2 linked regions of the Styela clava genome follow. The protein of the gene in region 1 purifies or fractionates together with the protein of each later gene. This does not show direct contact. Links are inferred from orthologs where the notes say so. Each region holds a gene or a part of one and is shown on either strand. Other genes may lie near its edges.

Region 1 (10,543 bases):
GAAAATATTTGTCACGGAACCACAAAATCTACTCACGTGACTTTTCGGGTTGGGTGCCTCTTCTCGGTAAAGTAGTTGCCAGATTGATATTGGGGGGTTTAGCGCTATGAAATTATTTAAAGCTAAGTCTGTAAGTTTACAGTTATTCAGTTATTTATGCATTTTGCTGAATACAGACTACCGGTATGAGTTATCAGTCTGTAATTACAGAATTAAGTGGATCAGCCTTATTCATTATCTGCCAAATTAACAAATAGCTCGCTTTTTTACCTCTGTGTTTTTCAGCTCAATCTAGTCTTAAAAGCTACAGAACTGAGAGAAACAATGGCTTACCAGTATAACCAGCCTGGAGGTTATCAGCAGCAGCAAGGGTACCAGCAGCAGAACTATCACCCCCAGCAAGGTTACCAAGCACCTGGTGGTTATGGCCAACCTCCCCCTCACCAACAAATCCCTGGAGTTGATTTATGGGGAATTTTCACTCGTGTAGATCGAGATAGGAGCGGTCAGATCTCGACAAGAGAGCTTCAAGAAGCTTTGTCTAACGGAACTTGGCAGCCATTCAACCCCGAGACAGTTCGGTTGATGATTGGAATGTTCGACACTGACCACAGCGGTTCAATTAATTTTCAAGAGTTTGCAGGATTGTGGAAATACGTCACAGATTGGCAGAATACGTTTAAAAGTTACGATCGAGATAATTCTGGATCGATTGATAAAAGGGAATTACAAACTGCATTGACTTCGTTTGGATACAGGTAAGTCGAGATTGAGTGTTTCATTGCAAATTACTGGTTTGGCCGGGAACAGAGGGTAGGGTGGTGGGGTCTGGTATAGTTTAGTACCACATCCACTTTTAGTTGGCCTGGCTCAACAATTTTTGCATATGTCAATCCTAACCCCCACCTGACTACGTCACCGAAAAATTATGTCATTCCGACGTCACAGTGGCATAATAAGGCTCACCGAAGTATGCGGATGGTCGTACAAAACGCGCAGACGATAACCCGAAATCGAGCAAGCTATTTTTCTTGTTGCAACGATCACGATAGGAGAGAGATTGTCGGCTTTAGCAAGTTCTTATCGGCGGCGCAGATGCCATTTCGGGCGATCGTAATTATACTTTGGCAATCCCTATGACGTGATGGTGACGTCGTAGTGACGTAATTTTTGTTTGGCATAGTCAGGTGAGGGTTAGGAATAACATATGCTAAAAACGTTTTGCTACGCCCACTGGAAGTACTTGTGGTACTAAACTATACTAGACCCGGGTGGTGCAGCCAGTCTGCGAACCCCTATAAAAAATAAACTAATATTTCTAATCAGTTAACTCGTCTAAATATAAACAAAGCACCGCATCGTTTAACTTATGATTTTGACTTCCAGTCTCCATGACAGCTGTTTGAAAATAATAATAAAGAAATACATCTGGTTTTGTATGGCATTTGTTATTGCTTGGTATGGCAAATATCTGTGGTGATTATGTAGGTTAAATACAAGATTATTATTTTCAAACAAATCCTAAGGCGACAGAATCATAACTCGAATTGTCTCACGGTAGGATGACGAACCTGTGAACCACTGATAAGAGCAGATGGTTATTAGATGTAACGCAGTAAATATTTGGGCCCAGGACTAGAGAGTCGGAATCAGACTTTGATTGAATTGAAGTCAAGCCGGGGTTGTTTTTTTATAAATTCCCTTGAGACAAATGAGACAAAAGTTTTGGCATCCAAATTTTAGGCTTCTAATTCTGATTTTCATTCCAGATTGTCGGATAGATTCTACGACCTGTTGGTCAGAAAGTTTGATCGTCAGGGCCGAGGAACGATTGCATTCGATGATTTCATCCAGTGCTGCGTCGTTCTGCAAACTTTAACAAAGTCCTTCAGTGCTAAAGATACCAGCAGAAACGGGATGATTCAAGTATCGTACGAAGAATTTCTCTCCATGGTGTTCAGTGTTAGGTCATAACTCAAAACCTTTAATTGATATGTATCCACCTATTATTGTATTAGTTTACCGAATGTCCAATTTCTGGGAATCCTAGTTCTTCTTAATTCGAGAAAATATTATTTTCATTTCTGTGATGAATAATTATATTGAGGACATTGATTCAATACTGCAGGTTTATTCAACAAGACAATCAGACAGGTGTTTCACGCCGTATTATTCGCCTTTTCCATGTGGTGAAACCTGGCGACCCTTATTTTGAATACCTTGTTTGTTGGGGTTAGAAATAAATTGAACAGAATTCAAACTTTCATAAAATTTCACTCCGATTTGTCATGGTTCTCAAACTTTCATGCCCTTCTGAAGTCTTCAACACTTTTCCAACTCTCACAAAAATAACAAGTTTGGTTTTTAATAACATGTTTTCATTGACCATGTTACCCATGTATAATAATAAAAAAAACAAGAACTGCATCACAGGCAATTTACTTCAAATGAATGTATTGCTAATGATATCTGATTAGCGGTTCTACTCTCTGGGCCCCTAGGGTCGATGGCCTAGTTTGAGAAACCATGCCATGGACTTTATTTATCTGAAAAAGAACATTTATGAAAGTTGGTTTTTAACATTTCCATTCAATTCATTATGCAGTGGAATTGTTAGATTTTTAGAGAAACATTTTGATGTGAATGTTTATTCATCCAAGTCTAAATTATTGCAAATTTATTCGGTACAATGTTATGTATTTATATTCACTTCATAGTGAGTTCATGTAGCCTTGCTTTGAACAAACATCAAAGACCATGTGTCAGAAATGAATAACTGGTTGTAATAATAATGTTCACGTACACAACATGGACTTGGAATGGGACGAGAGGCCCCAGTTATCAATATGTCTTATAGGCTTTTCTCTCCCCTCGATTTGAAATCTTATACTTCTTATTCTAAATATTCATGGAAGAGATTATTGCGCTCTTCTAAAATAGTGCTCTGATTTTTTTATTGAATGATACATACATTTGCTTTGATGTGATGAAATAACCAGTTTTTGTGACATAACTCGTTAATAATTGGTATTTAAATTAAATTTAGAGCTCTGTATTGCGTGGAGCATTAAATACCTGGCACTGACCAAGAGAATTATGATCAAAGAATTTTCCTATCCGACTTTGATAAAATGTTATGTTGAGTCACAATACATATTTGTATCCTGCTTTATGATGTAATATTAGATATTTGAATCTTGGGAAGGAAATTGTAATCTGGGAATTGAATTAATATTTGCATTCTTACATATCTTGTTGTGTATTGTTGATCACTTGTTTTCTATTCATTCAATTATTGTGATGAGCCCAGCTAGCGCAGTTTTCATGAGTAGAAACGCAGTGCTGATGCTTTATTCTTGTTACCAATGTTCCTGATCCAGATTTTTCATATTGCATTTGAGATACTTGTGCAAATTGTGCCTGCAGTAAATGCTCATTGCTAATAAATGTTTCCTCATTTCCTAACCCAAGAAAAATCTCCCTACACTCAATCGTGGCAGAATTGTCTGTTCTTGTTTTCGTGAATTGGACATCTGACTTTCGTTTTATAAATATCCATTTTATATTAGAATATTTGAGCTTTCATAATGAATTGAGCAGAGAATTCTATGCTCAGAGAAACATACATCTCTTACAGGGAACACGTTATTTTTTTTCCCGAAGGCATGTACCGGTATGTTGTAAATAGGGCTGGCAATTTCAAAATGTGTGATGATCACAAGTATCCAAAAGTATATTCGTTTACTGAATGCCTGCAATTTGGAAAGTTTTTATTTATGTAATTACTGTATCTTTGTTAAATTTGCTAGTTTGGCCATAAGTGAAATTCATGTCATGTTATGCTCTTTCTAGCATTTCTGGTCATGTCGAATAAACATTTTATCTGGACTCATTATATCTTTGCATAGAATTCAGTTTTTTAGAGTGCCTAGATTTGGTAGAGCTGGTATCACAATTTATACTGAAAATATTAATAATAAGAAACTATTTTTTTCATAATTCTTCGAATTAATGTATAATATGATTAACTTAGACTAAATGGAAAGTAGTGAGAGTGAAGATTTGAATCTGCCAATTGATTTTTGGAGATTATTACATAAACAAAAGGATTACTCAAGCGGAAATAATGCAGAGGTGGAAATCAGTAATAAATTGAAAGGATTATCTGATCAGCAAGGGTGTGGGAATTACTCATCTGTAAATATTGCAGAGTTGGAAATAAAACAAAATTCTAAGGATTGTGTTGAATATTGTTCAAATGCTACGAGAGTTTTCAAAAGAAAGAGAAGGCCTAAGAAAGGTCCAATAGTCTATTCCGACTCTGATAGTGATGATGATACAAAACATATTGAACAATCTCGTAAACTGTCAAAATATGAAAACGCAAAAATACATGGCTCTTCAATGACCACTAGTGTTGGTTGTGTCGCATCAAGTAACGATAAACATGGAAGCTTTTTAAAAAAGGGCGATTCTGAACCCACTGCTTCAATAAATAAAAATGCAGTGAAGCCAGATACCGTTGCTAAGGGCAACAAGATGTCTGGTGGAGGCAACAGAAGAAAACGAAAACAGGATAAACTTGCAATGAATTTGGATGGTAATCTTACAGAAAAACAGTTTGACGATGAAACAAAGATTTGTAAACAAAGTGACAATGAAGACACCTCAAATATAACTCGATGTGATGTGAAGACATCAGAGAACACAAATTTTCTGGCTGAGAAACGCTCACTGAAGCACAGCAAAACATCCAAAGTCCCAAATGAAAAACTTGTTAAATCGAGATTGTCAAATGAGAAAGATTCCTCTGATGAAGAACTCGATGCCTCAGAAATGGAGAAAAGGTTTAACATGGATCGGAATAAGTCTAAAATATCTCGGTCTCGATTCGGCTCCCTGAGGAGGAAAAACTATAAATTTGCGCCGATAATATTTTCAGATGAAAACGAGGAAATTGTTATTGAAGGTAAAAGGTCAGTGAAGGTCGTGGAAAACCAAAACCTTGATATTTGTGGAAAAAATGTGAATCTGACTTGTATAGAGAAACCTGGGTCTAATATTAAACCAGTTACTAGTAACGTCACTACTATAGAGTCTGGTGAACAGCCAGGACCCAACATCGATGACCTATTTTCTGTGTCAAATAATGTAAGAAAGTTGGGCTCTGATAATGCAAAGCATTCCCCAGGGAAGAAATTACTCAGAAATGGAACAGATGGTCATAATTCGTCAAATCAGATAATCAATGGCACATATACTCGAGATAACTATTCGGCTAATAATAGAAGTAACCAGCTCACTAATACTGATACTATCGTGTCACCATCAAGTCCATGCAGCGATTCTAAAACTGGTCGGGCCCTTTCTCAAATGAGTGATTTATTTTTCAATGATGATGATTGTAAAATTAAACCAGCCCCTGGGAAACAAAAATCAGGCAACACTGATTCTAAATCTCATGCTCGTATTGCACAATCTTTGTCTAATATTTCACAATCTAATACAACTATTGCACAATCATCTGGGGGTCATGAAGTCACCTTATTTGATGATGATTTATGGAGTTCGCCAAGAAAATAAGCAGGGCAGAATCAAGAAATGTAAGCTTTTATGTCACACTTACATGGTCCCTGGCCGACCTCTGTTCTAACAGCCAAACCTGAGAAAGCACGCAATGCAATACTTGAAAATAAAACCAAAACAGCCACAGCTTTGAAATCCAAAAGATTGCCCCCAGTCCATATTGATGGAGGACAAAAAAGTCTATTTCTGGTAAATTTGACCCTGAAGCTTACAGCGGGGATATTTATTGTATCATATATTTTAATACTTTTTTGCTTTTTATGTAAACCCACTGTGATATTATCATTTACGGTTGAATTGTTTCAAATCAATTAACTTTTCTGTTTTCAAACCATTATGACCTCATTTTAAATTGAATTTTCACAAATTTGCAATGTTTCAAATTAAAATTTCCATTATTTTTCAAATAGTATTTTTCAGAAAATTTTTGTTGCTAGGCTATAATAAGTCTCAAATCAGCAAAATGCCGGCCGTTTCCCGTGGTGATGGAATGAGGGGCTTGTCAGTCTTTATAGCTGATATTAGAAACTGTAAGTTTTTGATTTTACTATAAATTGATTTAAAATTGTTTGCTCTGAGGCTTTCTTACCTTAGAGCAGGGGTCACCAACCTTTATGGAGCTGCGGGCTACTTTTTTGGTACCGACTAAGCTAAAATCACTCTACTGAAAAGCCAATTTGATATTAATGGTATTTAGCGAAGGAGACACTGATAATGTTTATTATTCATGAAACTATCAATAGTAGGTGTCCTATCAAAGGTTTTTTTTTTACCAACACATTTAACAAATCATGAATATCATATTTTCAACCAAGACCAAATCTGGTGTATTCCTCCTCAGTATGTGGGAAATCTGGTATTGCATCTCCACCCTTGTGTTGTACTCCGGTTTGCAAAGGTTAGAAATGAACGACACACATGGCTCCAGCTGATCTATTGTGTGTGATGTCATAATTGGAATGACATGTGACATTACCGATGTCACATATAGAAAAGGTTGACCGTTACAATAATTATTAATTATTATATTGTCATTTCCATTTCTCATATAGGGTTTGAACAAGAATAGCAAGAATAAAATTAATAGATGTAGCTTACTGATGAGCGCCGTTATTTGAGTTATTTCAAAACAGACCTGCGGGTGACTCATATGGTGCGTGGGGTCAACGGGTTGGTGACCCCTGCCTTAGAGTGAGTTCATGTAGCGTGTTTTAGATTTCATTGAGTTGACCAAACTATTCTTATTTCCAGGTAAAAGCAAGGAAGCAGAGAGTAAAAGAATAAACAAAGAATTAGCAAATATAAGGTCAAAGTTCAAAGGTGAGAGTTGAAATATTTTAATAGAAAACACAAGAATTAATTCCCATTTATGCTTCATTATCTCGCTGTTTTTGTGTTAGCTATTCTTTCCTGTAGCAGTGAAACATGGCTAGTCTGCCCTCTTTACTATTTCCTGTACAAGATGGCTATGATTTCACAGCAGGTTCTGTTCGTAGTAATGCTTGGTTCTTATTGGTTCCAACTGTGCTTCCTAGCTTGTCCTACTATATAGTTTAAGATGGCATTGCTATGATACCATAGCAAGTTATTAAAGAACTAGGTATGCTCTCATTTTTAATTTGCGGTTTTGGGATTCCATCGAATTTGGTTTTCTAACTAATGATACATTCGAAGTAATATTCTATAATGACTCATCAAATACCGATACCTCATTATTAATATGGAAAACAAATCGAATAAACTTTGAATAATTTGTTAATTTATGAATTGCTAAAAACAAATTGTTTGGCTCTATGTCATTGAGTTACCGACTTGTACTCCTGAACAAATAGGAAGCACTTTGTGCCGGTGATTGTTTTGTTTGTTTATTATAATTGGTTGTTTCCTGAGTTGAGACTTATAGTAGGTCCCAGTACCAGGCATGATGTTTCCTTTCAAACTGGTTTGGTATTTTAGTGGAAGGGCTTTTTGATTCATATCAAGCTGACATGTTTCAATACCCAGGAAATGCTTTATCAAAGCTATAATGTTACACATGAAAATTTGTGGTCAAGCTGACCTGATGAACCCTGCTGAGCGTATTTGGGAAAAGGATCAATGTGAAACAATATCACAGCAGAGGCAATTATCAGCAACTATTTTCGATTTTCAGAACACTTTTTATGAACAAAATTAAGTCTATTTTTAAAAATCCCCAAAATCTAAAAAAATATTATTTAATACCAACCTATTGAAATATTGGAACATCAGCTATGCAGGCGTCTTACTATTGGTTCGAATTCAAAATTGATCAAAATATTGAAGATCAATATCCAGGCTGTTGCTTGATGGATCAATACTGAAGTCAATTAATATCAAACAGGGTCGCAAAATGTTCAACTGAATTCAAAAATATTTTGTTTATAAATGCAATAAAGTTTCACTACATTTGAAACTCTGAACAGAATTTGTATGAATATGTTTTTTATGTGAAATCGGCCCAAAACATGTTATTAAGATTTGGTTGAGCAGCTGAAATCAATCATGCTCAGACAATTTGTATTTCATTCACATTGTGCCTCCTGCTAAATCATGACACTTGTCTAATTGTGGCAGCTAAGGAGACACTTAATGTCAATATAAGCATCCACTCTGTCATATTTTGTCTGCTCGGATGTATCGAAAAACAATTGTTCCTATGTTTGTTTTATTCCTCCCTTGGCCTGTTCAGACCTGCTCTTTATTCACCCTATTCTATGTGTAAAGGCTTCAATAATCTTAAATGAGTCCAATGTTGTACGCAATTCGCACTCCTGCCCAGTCCACATCTGAGTTTCCTAAACTTTTTGGGCCGCGGACCCCTATTTGAGAATCTTAGTTTTGACGAACCCCCATCCATGGTAATGTTTCATTTACAACACAACAACGCAAACGACATTAACAAATTATGACAAGCATACTCGTAGAATCGACTCTACGACAAGTCTCAACCTGTATTTTATCATCATATTGTTAAGAGGTGAAAATGCTGCCTCACGCATGTAGGTCGTTACAAAAGGCAATAAAATTTTAATTGCCTTTTCTGATAGCAGTGGATATTCGTCCGCAACGCTCAACTAAAAATATTCAATTGGTCTTTGATTAAAATCAATCATGATATATCGATCAGAACTTTTTTCATATCGTTGCGGACCCACTGTGCAGTTGTCATGGACCCCCAAGAGGGCCCCAGTTTGGGAAACCCTGGTTTGAATGGTTTATAGCCAGGGATTCCATCCATCTGGAACACAAAAAAAGGACGACTGGAAAAATTTCTGCATTGTGAGCAGAAATAGCTGGCTTTCCAATGGCCTCCAGGTTAATGTCACAATTACAGACGCCACAGTGTGCGAAGCACTTACCCTTCAAGCTTCGTTTAACTTTGAACTCTTTCTCGTACTCGAAAAACGTTTTTACATTTGCTCATATTTAAATTTAAGCTAAAATAACCACCACCACGACGAAACTCAAGGATCGCCACACTAGTAATGCTTCATGCCTATCTGTGCCTTGCTTCTTTGTGTTCCAAATAAGATTGTGTTGTTTTTACGATGCCGCAATAAAGCCTTGGCGATAAGATCAACAACAACAAAGCTTTTAATATGAAGTCCAAATAAGACCAAATAAGGACCCGCAAGCCAAAAATGCGGACGCAAGCTAAAAATAAGCCAAAAATAAGGACAAACCTTAGAAAAAAGGACGGTATGGAATCCCTGTTTATAGCGGATGCATAAATGAGTATTACTCAAGAACTAAACAATATTAGTGAAACTGCAACCATTTGCAAAGCAATATTCCCGCTCAAAAGCATCACAGAAAGGCGGTGGTAAAGCTTCTCTTCTGATTTACTCTCGGCGTTATGTATGGTCGGTTCATTAGAGCTTGGAATGATAGCGATCTTAAAAGATAAATATTCATTGCAGGAGACAAGACATTGGATGGATACAGCAAGAAGAAATATGTCTGCAAACTCTTGTTCATATTCCTGCTGGGTCACGACATTGACTTTGGACATATGGAAGCCGTCAACCTTCTCAGTTCAAACAAGTACACTGAGAAGCAGATTGTGAGTTTTGGCTTCAAAGCAGGCACTTTAGCATAAGAAACTATAAATCTGTGTGATAACTTGCTTTAATTGCTAAACATGACTGCACCACCGCTATGTCATTGTCACATTGCTCTCCATCCAGCCATTGTGAGTGCTCAATGAATGACATCTGGTAGACCATTTTCATGTCTACAGCTCCCATTGCTAAGCCCGTATTTTACCAGGATAATAAGTGTTTTTTTTCCAGGGTTACCTGTTCATCTCTGTTCTGGTCAGTTCGAGCTCAGACTTGATCAAGTTGATCATCCAGAACATCAAGGTAAGAGGGTTTAAGACTTGTTGAACTGCAGGTCCTTTCTCCTTGTGTAGTTGTTTCCCTGCTTGAATAAGATAGCACCATTAGATTGAGACAATCTCTTTCCATGAAAGTCGATTTCGTTATTTCAAACAATATAACTTTATATATGAAGATCGTGATGATAAGTGCTATTCCATGGTAAGGCTGTCACTTAACTTGGCCTGGCGTGCCACAAACCATGATCGCATATGATAAAGTGACCCTACTTACTGAATTTTTATTTTAGACTTTGCTGGGAATTCCCATTTTAAAGGTTGACCCTAAAAATGGAATCCAAATCTTTTGGGGATTGTTTTAGAGAGAACAAAACTGTTGTGCAGATTTTGAATGTGCACAATCATACACAAATACTTTTTTCATAGAATTGATCAGAAAAGTTATGTTTTTTTTGAGGTCTCTGTTGTACTCCCTAGTTCAGCTCCCTACCTAGCTCTTATTTAACCCCTTTGCTATCTTTCAGAATAAAGTCGTTAGTATTTTTCATTTTATTTATCCCTTTGACAACTTTCACGATGATCTTCTTTAGTCCTTCC
Region 2 (11,059 bases), on another chromosome or scaffold:
TGTATTGAACTAATCAAGTAAATAACCACAAAATAGGCTTTAAAAGCTGTCAAGTGGATCGAGTAATACTTTATAACTTTTCACAAATTGAAATTGAAATGTCAAGTTGGTTTTATACCAAATATACTAATATACCAAACGTTTCTATTAACAGTAACAATTATCAATATTAAAATTCAGCATATAAATTTTATTTAAAGTTTTTTCCATATAAAAATTCTACAGCAAATACAAAATGGTTAGTTTAGGTTTTATTTCTGGGAAATTAGCCTAAAATTGTTGAAATGCTTGGAGCATACTTTTGGTGGTTTCAGTTCTCAAAAGACTGCTATTATAAAATAAATTACAATCAATTTCTGTAATTTAAAACCACAGAAAAGAGAAGTCGATAATTATAAATAGGTAGAAATTTCACACACGTTCACCTCATTCATAAAAACGTGTATACTGTAGTATGAAATGACTATCTCATTAAGAACAGTAAAAGCAACAATCTACCGGTATATTATTTTATCTCGGAAGTTGATAAAAATATGAAATTTGAATAAATAAAAAGAAGTTTTTTTGGGCAGACAGCATGGAATACTATTCAGTATCATCAGTCATCACATTATTAAAAGACAATTTAAATTAAAAATGTTTAATCTTTTTCATATAGTGCCTATTACCTATAAATGTTTTTTCCTGAATTTCATTATATTATTATAATGATGGCAATGGTACATGTATTACTTTAATAAAGTCAAAAAATGTCTAAATCAGATGTTTTAATTCTGATTAAAGCTAAAAAAAAATTAGCTTGCTGTCTGCATAAAGATACAATTTGGATATGCAGGCAGTAGTTTGTGACATATTAACTTTATAACACGATGCTAAATTATATCATAAAACAAGAATGCTTAAATCAATAAATGATGTGACATCATTCCCCTGGCAAATTTACTCAGTGTAAATCAAAGAGGCAACTAGGGTTGAATTTGTGTAACCCTACATATAGTATTAGTCCAATAAATTAGAATAATATTTCTTACAATCTGATCAAAAAGATATTCGACGAAAAGTAAATTTTTACGAAATGCTACATAGTGAAGATACAAAATAAAATTTGGCGTATATCGATTATCATGTGTTTCTATTTGAAATATGCTGATTTGGGATACATGTAATATGATGAACAGTGGTAAAAAGGTAAAGAATATTACAGATTCTGAAATGTACATTTACATATCCTTCCAAAAACACCAAGTAAATTAAAATTCATAAATGGCACACACAGGTGGCCAAAACCAAATGATCTACTATTCAAATCCATTTATTAAAATAATATTTTTACATATTAGCATACCGAATACATTTTAAATATTCAACCAATAAACAAAAAAGTCAATACATGCATACTTAATGAGTTTGTTTTGGAAATACAGGGGAATAGTAGATAAACAGTAATTTGAATTTGTTTGATTTGAATTATTAAAAATCATAATATGCAGGCCTTTTTGGTCCATCTGTGAGACCCCTATTACGTCGAAATGAATTAACGATTTTAAATTACTGGACATTACTGGGTACATTTGAAAATTAAAAATTTATATGTTTCATTAACTTAATCATACTTATATTAAGTCACCAACACTTGGATGGGGAATAGTCGATAATACACATAATTCCATCAGTCAAGGGAATAATTATTTACAAACTTAAGAGCTTTAATAAGTTCGTGCACTGGGGAATCTTATCCTGAACATAGCTTCATTATCAATCAATAGGAGAGCTCATTTGTATGTAAAGCACGGTTTAATTATGCTTTTTCCAGTGGGATATGTTTGAAACTAAGCCAAAGGTCACAAAACAGATTTTCTATGTTATGCTTGTTATAATGTCGTAAAAATATTATGCATGAACCCACAATATCATGATTGCTTTGATTACGCCAGAAGCATTCAATTGCCCGAGGAAAAATTCTTATCGCATCCTGAATCTATAGGAAAACGTCTTTGAATTAGAAAGGAAAAATAAACAAACAATAAAGAATTAACGTCATAAGGATGATACATTAGCACCACAATGTTAAAACACAGGATAACCGCACTTCCGACTGTCTATATTTAATCCCGATATGAACCATTGTTTGAAGCACACTAAAATTTCATATTTGACATTGATAAATTGATATATACAGCTTGATTTGCCAACTAACATAAATTAACTGTCAGTTGTGTAACAAAAATACACAACCTAATTTGCAATAGACTCGTGATCTAATAAGCAATAATTGTATTATAAGTGCACAGGTAGGTATTTTGATGTTTAACCAGACAAACGGCATATGAATATGCTACACTCATTATATTGCAAAAATATCAATTTTTCATTATAATGATATTTGATAAAAAAAAAATCCAATTTTTTACTGAAGCTAATTGCAAACCTTCATTTGCCGTACAGAACTAACAACAAACATAAAAGAAACACAATTTATACTGATATATATCATAGCCACAAAATTTTTAACATGTACATGAACACTGATACAAAAATTAGCAAATGAAATTAAATAAAGTCTCACCGCTTTTAGACTTTTCACTGCTTGTTCACAAACTTGCATTCCTCTTGAGTCTTGAACCTCAATACATCCAAGATACTGAAGAGAGAAAAAAAAAAAAAAATAACCAGATGATGCAGATTTAGGAATTTTCGCTATTCATCTTTCATTTTCTATTTACTGCCCACTTTTCAATACATAACACTAAATAAATTATTATGCATCACTGTCCGGTAAAGTGTCTATAATCATCAGTTTCTTCCAATAAATCTTCTATTAAAAACCATCCACAATTTTAAATCACTGATTTGTTGATATTAAATATGCTGCTAGATAAATTTAACACAACTGATTAAAACAATTATGTGTGAATATAGATTTTGTATTTATGAGTAATTGACTGATATCAAGTATTACCAATTTGTCCCTAATAAAAAAAAGCTCATGCTGTTGTTTGATACAGACTAATTACAGATTTGAATAAAGGGACAAAACAAGTTTTTACCAAATAAAGTTGGAATATAGGTATAAAATAGAACAATTTTTCCTGTGTTGTTATTGTTTTTGTTTCGCATAATTTTAATCTTACAACAAATCACTGTCATATATTTTGTGCTGATCGAACTGTTTGGTGATGCTACAAGAGTGGTAGACCAAATTGTGGTAGAATACAATAGAGGCTGAAGTATCTCGATGACAATCGATGTTCGCATCATTGTGTAGACGTTATATATAGCTGATTTGGCATAGGTTCACACATTTTCATCTGGAAACAATTTGTTCGGTTGTTTGTTTACACACCATCTCACACATCGCACACATATCCACTATTCAGTTCACTATTTTGTTTGTAAATAATTTCAGGTAATTTGATTATGAAGTTAGAAGCCTGAATATTGACCAATCATTTGTATTGATGTTTATTTGTTTGTGTTTGTTGTGATTTGTTTTCTTTCTTCTTCGGTGAGTGAACGAACTCGTTTAATATGTTATAAATTTATTTTTAGGTTTTGTTCAATTTCCAGATTCTTCGCCTTTCTCTTTTTTGTGTATTGTTTTATTTTTTTGCGAATGAATCAAAATAAAATCTATCTATCTATAAAACTTGAAAATTTACCGTAGTTGTAATAAAATTTGAATGCAGTATATCAACAATGAAACGAACATCTATCAGTGTTACAATAAGCTATAAAATATATTATTTCAGGCTGACAAATCTACTAGGCAAGAGCTTCAACCCGAAAATAAAAAATTTGAAAAAAAAAGGTCATTAGAAAATGAAGAAAACATTCATTTTTTAATTTCAAACTCCTCTTTTCATTAAATACCTTTTTCTTTGAACTTTGATTAGAGCCAGCTTGAAACAGTAAAAAGCATTCACATTATTTCTTAGAATTTTTTTTAAAAAAATGTTTTTTTCTCTATTTTAACATTTGACGTTGTTTTCTTGAAACCCTTATATTAATACACACACATTCAGAAAGTTTATATTATCTACCTTAACATGAAATTTACAAGTTCCAGTCTGTACAGATTTTTCATCCTGTTGCCATTCAGGTGGTTGAGTACTTTCTGGAACTTTTGGTTTCTTCTTCCTTCGAAAACTATTCCGAATTGACCGCATCATAGTGATTTTTATAGTGTTTAAATAATTCCAATAGTACTGTAGTATAAGATATTTCCCTTACACGTTCAGCCTTTTTCAGACAATGGAGTCTTATTATCTATTTTTTATTTGGAAAACATGATAGGCTAGTTGAGCGACCAATGCTACAAAAATATAACATCAAAAATTTTAATCTACGAAGCATGAAATAAACTGACATTCAGACATTATACTGTTATAAGGATGGAAAATGAGTTGAATTCATGTATTTGATCATGTAATACAGTAATCCAACTTACTGACTTACGCTGGTTTATCTTTCTACAAAATTTACTCAAAGCATAAAAATGTTTATCTAGCTATCCAAATCACTAACTTCAGGACTTCATTTTTCAAAAGCAGACCAGAAGACAAATAGCCTAATGCAGAAATTTGCTGAAAATCAACTGTCAGATTGCTGGACTGTCGAAGCTGTCACTTTTACATTAAAACAACAACAAGAACAATATTATTCTGATTAGACTACTGGCTGACTGGTAGGGCTTAAGTCAGTAAGTTAATTCAGTAATTGTGCTCCCAGCTTTGCAACTTCAGTCTGAGTCTGTTAATGCAACATACGGTACCACCGTCAGACCGTACCGGTACCTGACTGTCAGAATATTGTCAGTTACGGTAGTATCCTACCGGTACCGGTACCGTACCGGGACCCCCTTTTTCGCCAAATAAATTCCAATGCCAAACGGAATTTTCGTATTAATATTTTGAATCAAATCATTTTATTTTAAATACATAGTTTTTGAGAGTTTCGGTACCGTACTGTAGTAATTTCAGAATCTTTTTCCATACGCGACCGCAGGGAGAACGAAGTGACGTCATTCCCATTTGTAGTTTGGATTTTTAGAATGCAAATTGCTGTCACATTGTGACGCCAGAGAGTAAAAAGTTTGGATAGAATTTCATATTTGTTTCGGCGGTCATGTATACTCTTTGGGGAAGTAAGCCAACTAGAAAGCTTAATCATATGACGAACCTTGAACCCTCGTCCGGTTACCAGCCAACTCCGAGTATTGGAATAGTTAGCCAGCGATTCGTTCCAGGCGCATGGACGATTGTCGAATACATTTTAGATTGCGAGGCACCATAATTGGTAGCATAAAATATAAATGACCGTTTATAATTTTATATTATATTCCTCCTTCCTCCACTTAACCAAATAGCTATCACGTCCCCCCCGCGACAGCTAAGCATCAAGCAACCTTTTCATGAATTTCTCATTTCTAATCCCATACAAAATCTCCACTCGAATTATACGTGCCAAATCCCACCTCCCAATCCTACGTGATCGTTCCCGGCATTTATAAACTTAAATCACCTCATATTACCAGTCTTAACTCTTCTGAACTTCTTATCTTCGACACTTTTTACAAAACTATCAAGACGACTGTCATTTTATTGGCGAACGTTTTACATACAACCTTTCGTGATTTATATGCGCAAAAGTAGGCTATTATAAACCAACAAATTTCGAGGGTTTTAACGTTAGAGAAACATCCAAGTTGGTTTAAAAAAGTGGAGCCATTATTGGACACGTAGTGGACATAACGATCGTTTCAATATTATGTTGTTGTTGTTCTTGTTATCCTTGTTGTTGTTCTTGTTCTTTGACACGTTTTTAAAAAGTCGCTTTTCTCTTCGAATACTGGACCAATTGCTTTGAAATTTTCAGTGGTTGAAGATAAAATTTTTCTCCAGAAGGCTATTACTTTTTTTTTCGCTATGACGTCATCAAAATTATTGCCATTGGGTGCCTACGTGTCCATATATTTGAGCATAGCTCTCTTGTTTCCCTTCACATCAGAAAGTATATATTTACAGGATGCCCATGAAGTGATAATTTCTTTTTAAATTGAAAGAGGAATTTATCGATATATCATATATTGTTTTGGCCCTCACAGATGTATTAAATCGTAAATATACACTATTAAATGAAGTAACTGATGAATAAAAAATAACAAACCTGGTTAAGATATATAGATATGTATTAAGAACTGAGTTCACAACAAAATTGAAATTGTAAAGTAACTTTATTTACACCCTGTATGCGGCTTTAAAAGTATTGATAACGTTGTGAGAAAATTCGAAATAAATTAACGTTTAAGCCAGGGGTAGGGAAGGTTTTTGGACTGGTGTCAAAAATTTCCCCACCTATACTAGCGGGCTAGTAAGTGTGACGTAGAAAGTTACATTCTATGCACAATATTCAAAAGCAAAAGTGGAAAACAATAAGCTTCGCGCAAATGTAATCACAATCTCAGCAAATTCCTTGCGCTATTTTGTAGCTAAAACATCAAAATTTGGTTTTAGTTTGGTTGTGGCAGCATCAGGCGGGCCAGATTGGATTACCCAACGGGCCGGATTTGGCCCGCGGGCTGTAGTATGCCCATTACTGTTATGCAAGAGTGACTTTCACCAATACACAAAACTTCGCGAGAAAACTGCGCGCAAAAATGCGATGGATGATGTAGTGGCCGTTCGCACATAGTTGGATCTCAGTTAGATATCGGGTCGAAGGACATGAGGCGTCGAATAGAAAATGGGATCTACTTGTATGTATAGATAATCTGCTCAAGAACACGCAGTGTGACTTTTTTAACCCAAATAAATAGCAATAAATAATTTTTCCTATCCACAATAATCTTTTCTGTGGAACCCAAGTTGGAGGCCACTGCCCAGGGCTGACACATTGAATTTGCAGTATAAGAATGACTTTATTATTATTCATTTCATCATTTTATTTCTTTTCGTAATATTGATGTTGTAAGTATATACGTATAAGGAAGCATAAGTGTGAATTTGTCCAAGAAGAAAGTGACTAGAATCTGAATGTAAAAAGGGATTTCATTTTTTTTTTTTACATAAATATATTTATTGGCAACTGACAAGCATTGTTGAGCTGTAATTATTAGTTTATTTATACATGAAATACACTTCGAGAGTACAGAATGTAAAAAGAAACAAAACTGTTATTTCAGGAGAGCGCAAGAAACCAATACTGGTTATCGAGCAGCGACACCCGTGATTGAGTCTAACAGAAACGAAAGTAAATTTACCTGAAATTTCTGAACTTCTGCTTCTAATATGTAAAAATGAATATGGATATGGAAAATGGATAATTTATTTCTTCATCATGCTGAAAATACGAACTTATTATTTCGTTACCGTCGTTTCATTCGGAATGGGGTGTTTCAAAAATGTCGTGTCCCACTTGTCCCAGAGCAAAGTGGGACACGACATTTACGACACACCGTGCGAGTAGATAATAGATTTGCGAGCCATATATTATTATTAGACATAGCATATTATTAGCTTATAATGTCAAAGTCAATTATTATAAATTCAAATTGATAGATATTTTCTAGGTAATATTTCTGTTCTTTTCTTTCTAAAGTTTGAACATTAATTAATAATCAAACATATTTGTTAAAATCGATCTAAATCCAATTGGTAAAATCGATTCAAATCTTCATGTAGAACATCACACTATTAAAAGCACAGGTGATCTGTAAATCAGTTCGAAAAGCAAAATGTTGATCATGATCATATTATTTAATGTTGAAAACAATTACATTCATTTTACGATAAGCGAAATGTGAGATTCTTTTGCAGTTTACGATTTCATCGAATAATGTGGAAGAATAAATGCAAGCATTCAAATATTTTAAAATCCGTCTCTCCGGATTTTCATTCTGTCTGTTCATTCTATCACCAAAATGAAGGTATAAAGATTGCTGTTCGAGGTACACACACAGCCTACCTAGACGCCAATGTAAGAAAGTGCAATTGTTTTTTATTTCCGTTTTATTGCTTATCAATTACCTCTATAACAAATGTAATATAATTTCATGCTTGCATTTAATATCTAGTTCCTAGTATACCCTAAAAACAGTATTCCTCTTTTATTTATATTTAAAATGAAGGTAGACTATATTCAATTAGACATAACGTGTGTATAGTAACTACTATTGACATAAGTGTTCGTGTCAGCTAAAGTTGGGAAACATGCCCTCCATGTCGCATCTGGGAGGTTTATTCCAATTCTAGAATTCAATTGGATCGTTTTCTGCTCGTGGGTCGTAATATGCTCCGGGATAAGCCTAGCCTCAAGTTTAGGCTATAACAGTAATTTTATAGTTATAATATATGCAAATTGCAGAAATATGCCAAAAGATAATCGAGGCTCGAAAACTTCAGGGAATATTGTCAACTTGGAACTTTGTTTTGCGGTTCATTGCGATCATTTTTTATACTCGATTTAAACAAGGATTATGATTTTATACAAAATATAACAAGGCCAGTGTTTGAATTTCAATAAGTGATGAAACAACCGAACAACAGAAAGCACCTGCTTCCCCTATTGAATCAATAGGTGAAAATATGTTCGTCGTTTGGTGTTGGCGCCTTGATGTTGCGCAAATCAAAGCAGTAGTTTTGTCTTTCAATGGAAATTAGATTACCGGCATCATAGTTCGTAATAACAGTAATATTCCGCCATAAACAATATCGTCAGAAGAAAAACGGTTTCATAATTTCACATGGGAGATGGACTTTTGCATATTACACTTACTCAAGCCTCTCGCTCCGAAAACTATGCAAACACCTACTGTTTCGCTGTGTTGTCAATATTTAGTACTGATTTGATAGAAACAGTGAAATCGCAAGCATAATCATGTATTTTACATACATATATGTGTGTTCATATATTTGATTTATGCTTCATTGTAGGATTTCAGTTCAAAATATTGCGTCTCTGGGAGTGAGACAGATTCCTGGGCTTGACTGTGCAAATGGAAGCGATTTTACGAGTTCACGGTGAGGTATTGCATCTTCTATCGCGCAAAGAGTTCATCCGTCTAAAAAGTCTTTTAGGCCGTCACAGGGGTACGCGGACTCGCTAGGTGAGTGGTAAGAATTTAATTCGAACCAGTCATCGCTTAACTGGGCTTGTAAGCTAGTGAGCTAAACATCATAAATTCCATAAAGTGGCTCGTGCCGTAACCAAACAGTGTTTGCGCGTGAAGTCATCATAAATTAGTCTATCTATAATCGTGGGTTGTTAATAAAATCGACTTTACGATTAAAGGATATTTCGGTTATTGCTGTAGTAAAGTGAAATTACAAAAGATTGCTTGGCAAGATTATTATGTAGCCTACTATTATGTCATTCGTAAATAATAATATTGTCAAGCAATCTTTTGTAATTCCACTTTACGTTCGAGACATGAATTCGACTTTTACTTTAGAATGTGGGGCGTGGTTTGAATATATTGCTCTACCTATTGTACGTTGAAACCTGGTAGCTGTTTTTACTCGTTGGAGATCGACCCAACCTGTGCGAAGTTGACAGAACGATTTGTTGAACACGCTGGGTTAGTCAAAGGGTTATTTTACATGACTATAACCACCTGATCATTTACTTATATTCAGAAATAAGATGGAATTTGAAATTTTTACGAACATTTCAAAAACCATGCGAAACATTGAATCCTGAAATTCATGATCACGTTTGCTGGTTGTCACGAAATCCCCAAATCCCCCACAGTTTACGTTACTACCAGGCTGTGTTGTCGGCGTCCGGTAGCTTTAATTTTCCAAACACACTAAGGCACTGTGAATAAGGCAATTCTCTTGAATCGTTCAAGTTTTTTCTAAACCCGAAGGGGTATATTGTAGGACTTGTATAAGACTTATTCCTTCCTTGTAAGTTGTATTGGGAGACGCTCATGAAGTTATTCCACAGCTATGAGAAAATTTTGGGATTAAATTGAAATTAAATAAAATTGACTTAGCGTTGCTCGATAACGGCTGTAAACACTACAAAGGCAATTTGATTAAAATGCTTGATTCTGGTTTATTACAGAAAGGCAGCGTCGTTCTTTCAGACAACGTTTCATAACCAGGTAACTGAGCGATTGCGGGGGTGTTTTGTTTTGGAAGGGATTCCCATTGCTCCTTAATGCTATTGTGAAGTCTGTGGAGGTGCCTTGTCATTCGTACATAATTCTCTACAAGCAATATATATTTTGTAATTCCACTCTGCTACAGCAATACCTAAAATATTTTTTAATCGGGAAGTCGATTAACAACCCATGATTTCCGTGCTTCCCCGAAAATAAGACTGGGTCTTATTTCAATATCTTCCGAAAAACAACACTAGGGCTTTTTCGTTTCGGCGAATATCTTATATTTTAAATTATCAAAAACAAAATTACAAAGTAGGCAATTACGAGATTTTCAAATCTACAAAATAGAAAAACTGATATTTATTTACGTTTTTATTCAAAATAGCTGCAAAACGTAGATTATCAATCATTCAAAACGTGTTGGAGAGATTTCTTGTTATGGACTATCTTGCTATCCACCAAAAAAAAATCCGCGTTATTGACTAGGTCTTATTTTACGGTGAGGGCTTATATTAAAATCATTTTAAAATTCAGGCTAGTTCTTATTTTCGAGGTAGGTCTTATTTTCGGGGAAACTCGGTATACAGGGATAGACTAATTTATGATGACATCACTGTCAAATAAAAATTATTTGAAGTAGTAGATTTTCGAGGGTAATTTCCAGTTTAATAAAATAGAAAATCTTCTCGACATCACAGCAGCAAGCGATTACAGAGAGTTTTTCCGGTCGCATAAAAGATTTGAAAGTACTTTGTTTGACACACACCTGCAATACACACCTAATGTAAGAGACGGAATGGAGAAATCTACGTATTTAGGACAAATATTGTTTTTGTTATTTGGTAAAATACATGGGATTGATATATATTCATGCTTATCATTGATATATACACAATTGATGAATAGTTTTTGACATTGGTGATGTTACCGTTGCCTCATTATATACAGCCA

The links.
Region 2: the proteins of AP-2 complex subunit alpha-2-like (region 1) and protein numb homolog purify together in Drosophila melanogaster (affinity purification with western blotting; 5 studies listed by BioGRID). This does not show direct contact. The link is inferred for Styela clava from reciprocal best matches to the Drosophila melanogaster genes AP-2alpha and numb.

The regions. Positions count from the first base shown.
Region 1 is NC_135264.1:18,527,927-18,538,469, forward strand, and holds the start of AP-2 complex subunit alpha-2-like, read left to right. Parts: upstream 1-5,966; 5' UTR 5,967-6,049; coding exon 6,050-6,116; intron 6,117-6,837; coding exon 6,838-6,906; intron 6,907-9,527; coding exon 9,528-9,670; intron 9,671-9,899; coding exon 9,900-9,971; intron 9,972-10,543. Other genes in the region: programmed cell death protein 6-like, read left to right, coding at 325-758, 1,770-1,974. UniProt on the Drosophila melanogaster protein: Adaptins are components of the adapter complexes which link clathrin to receptors in coated vesicles. Clathrin-associated protein complexes are believed to interact with the cytoplasmic tails of membrane proteins, leading to their selection and concentration.
Region 2 is NC_135258.1:8,271,523-8,282,581, forward strand, and holds the start of protein numb homolog, read right to left. Parts: upstream 4,331-11,059; 5' UTR 4,170-4,330; coding exon 4,041-4,169; intron 2,642-4,040; coding exon 2,567-2,641; intron 1-2,566.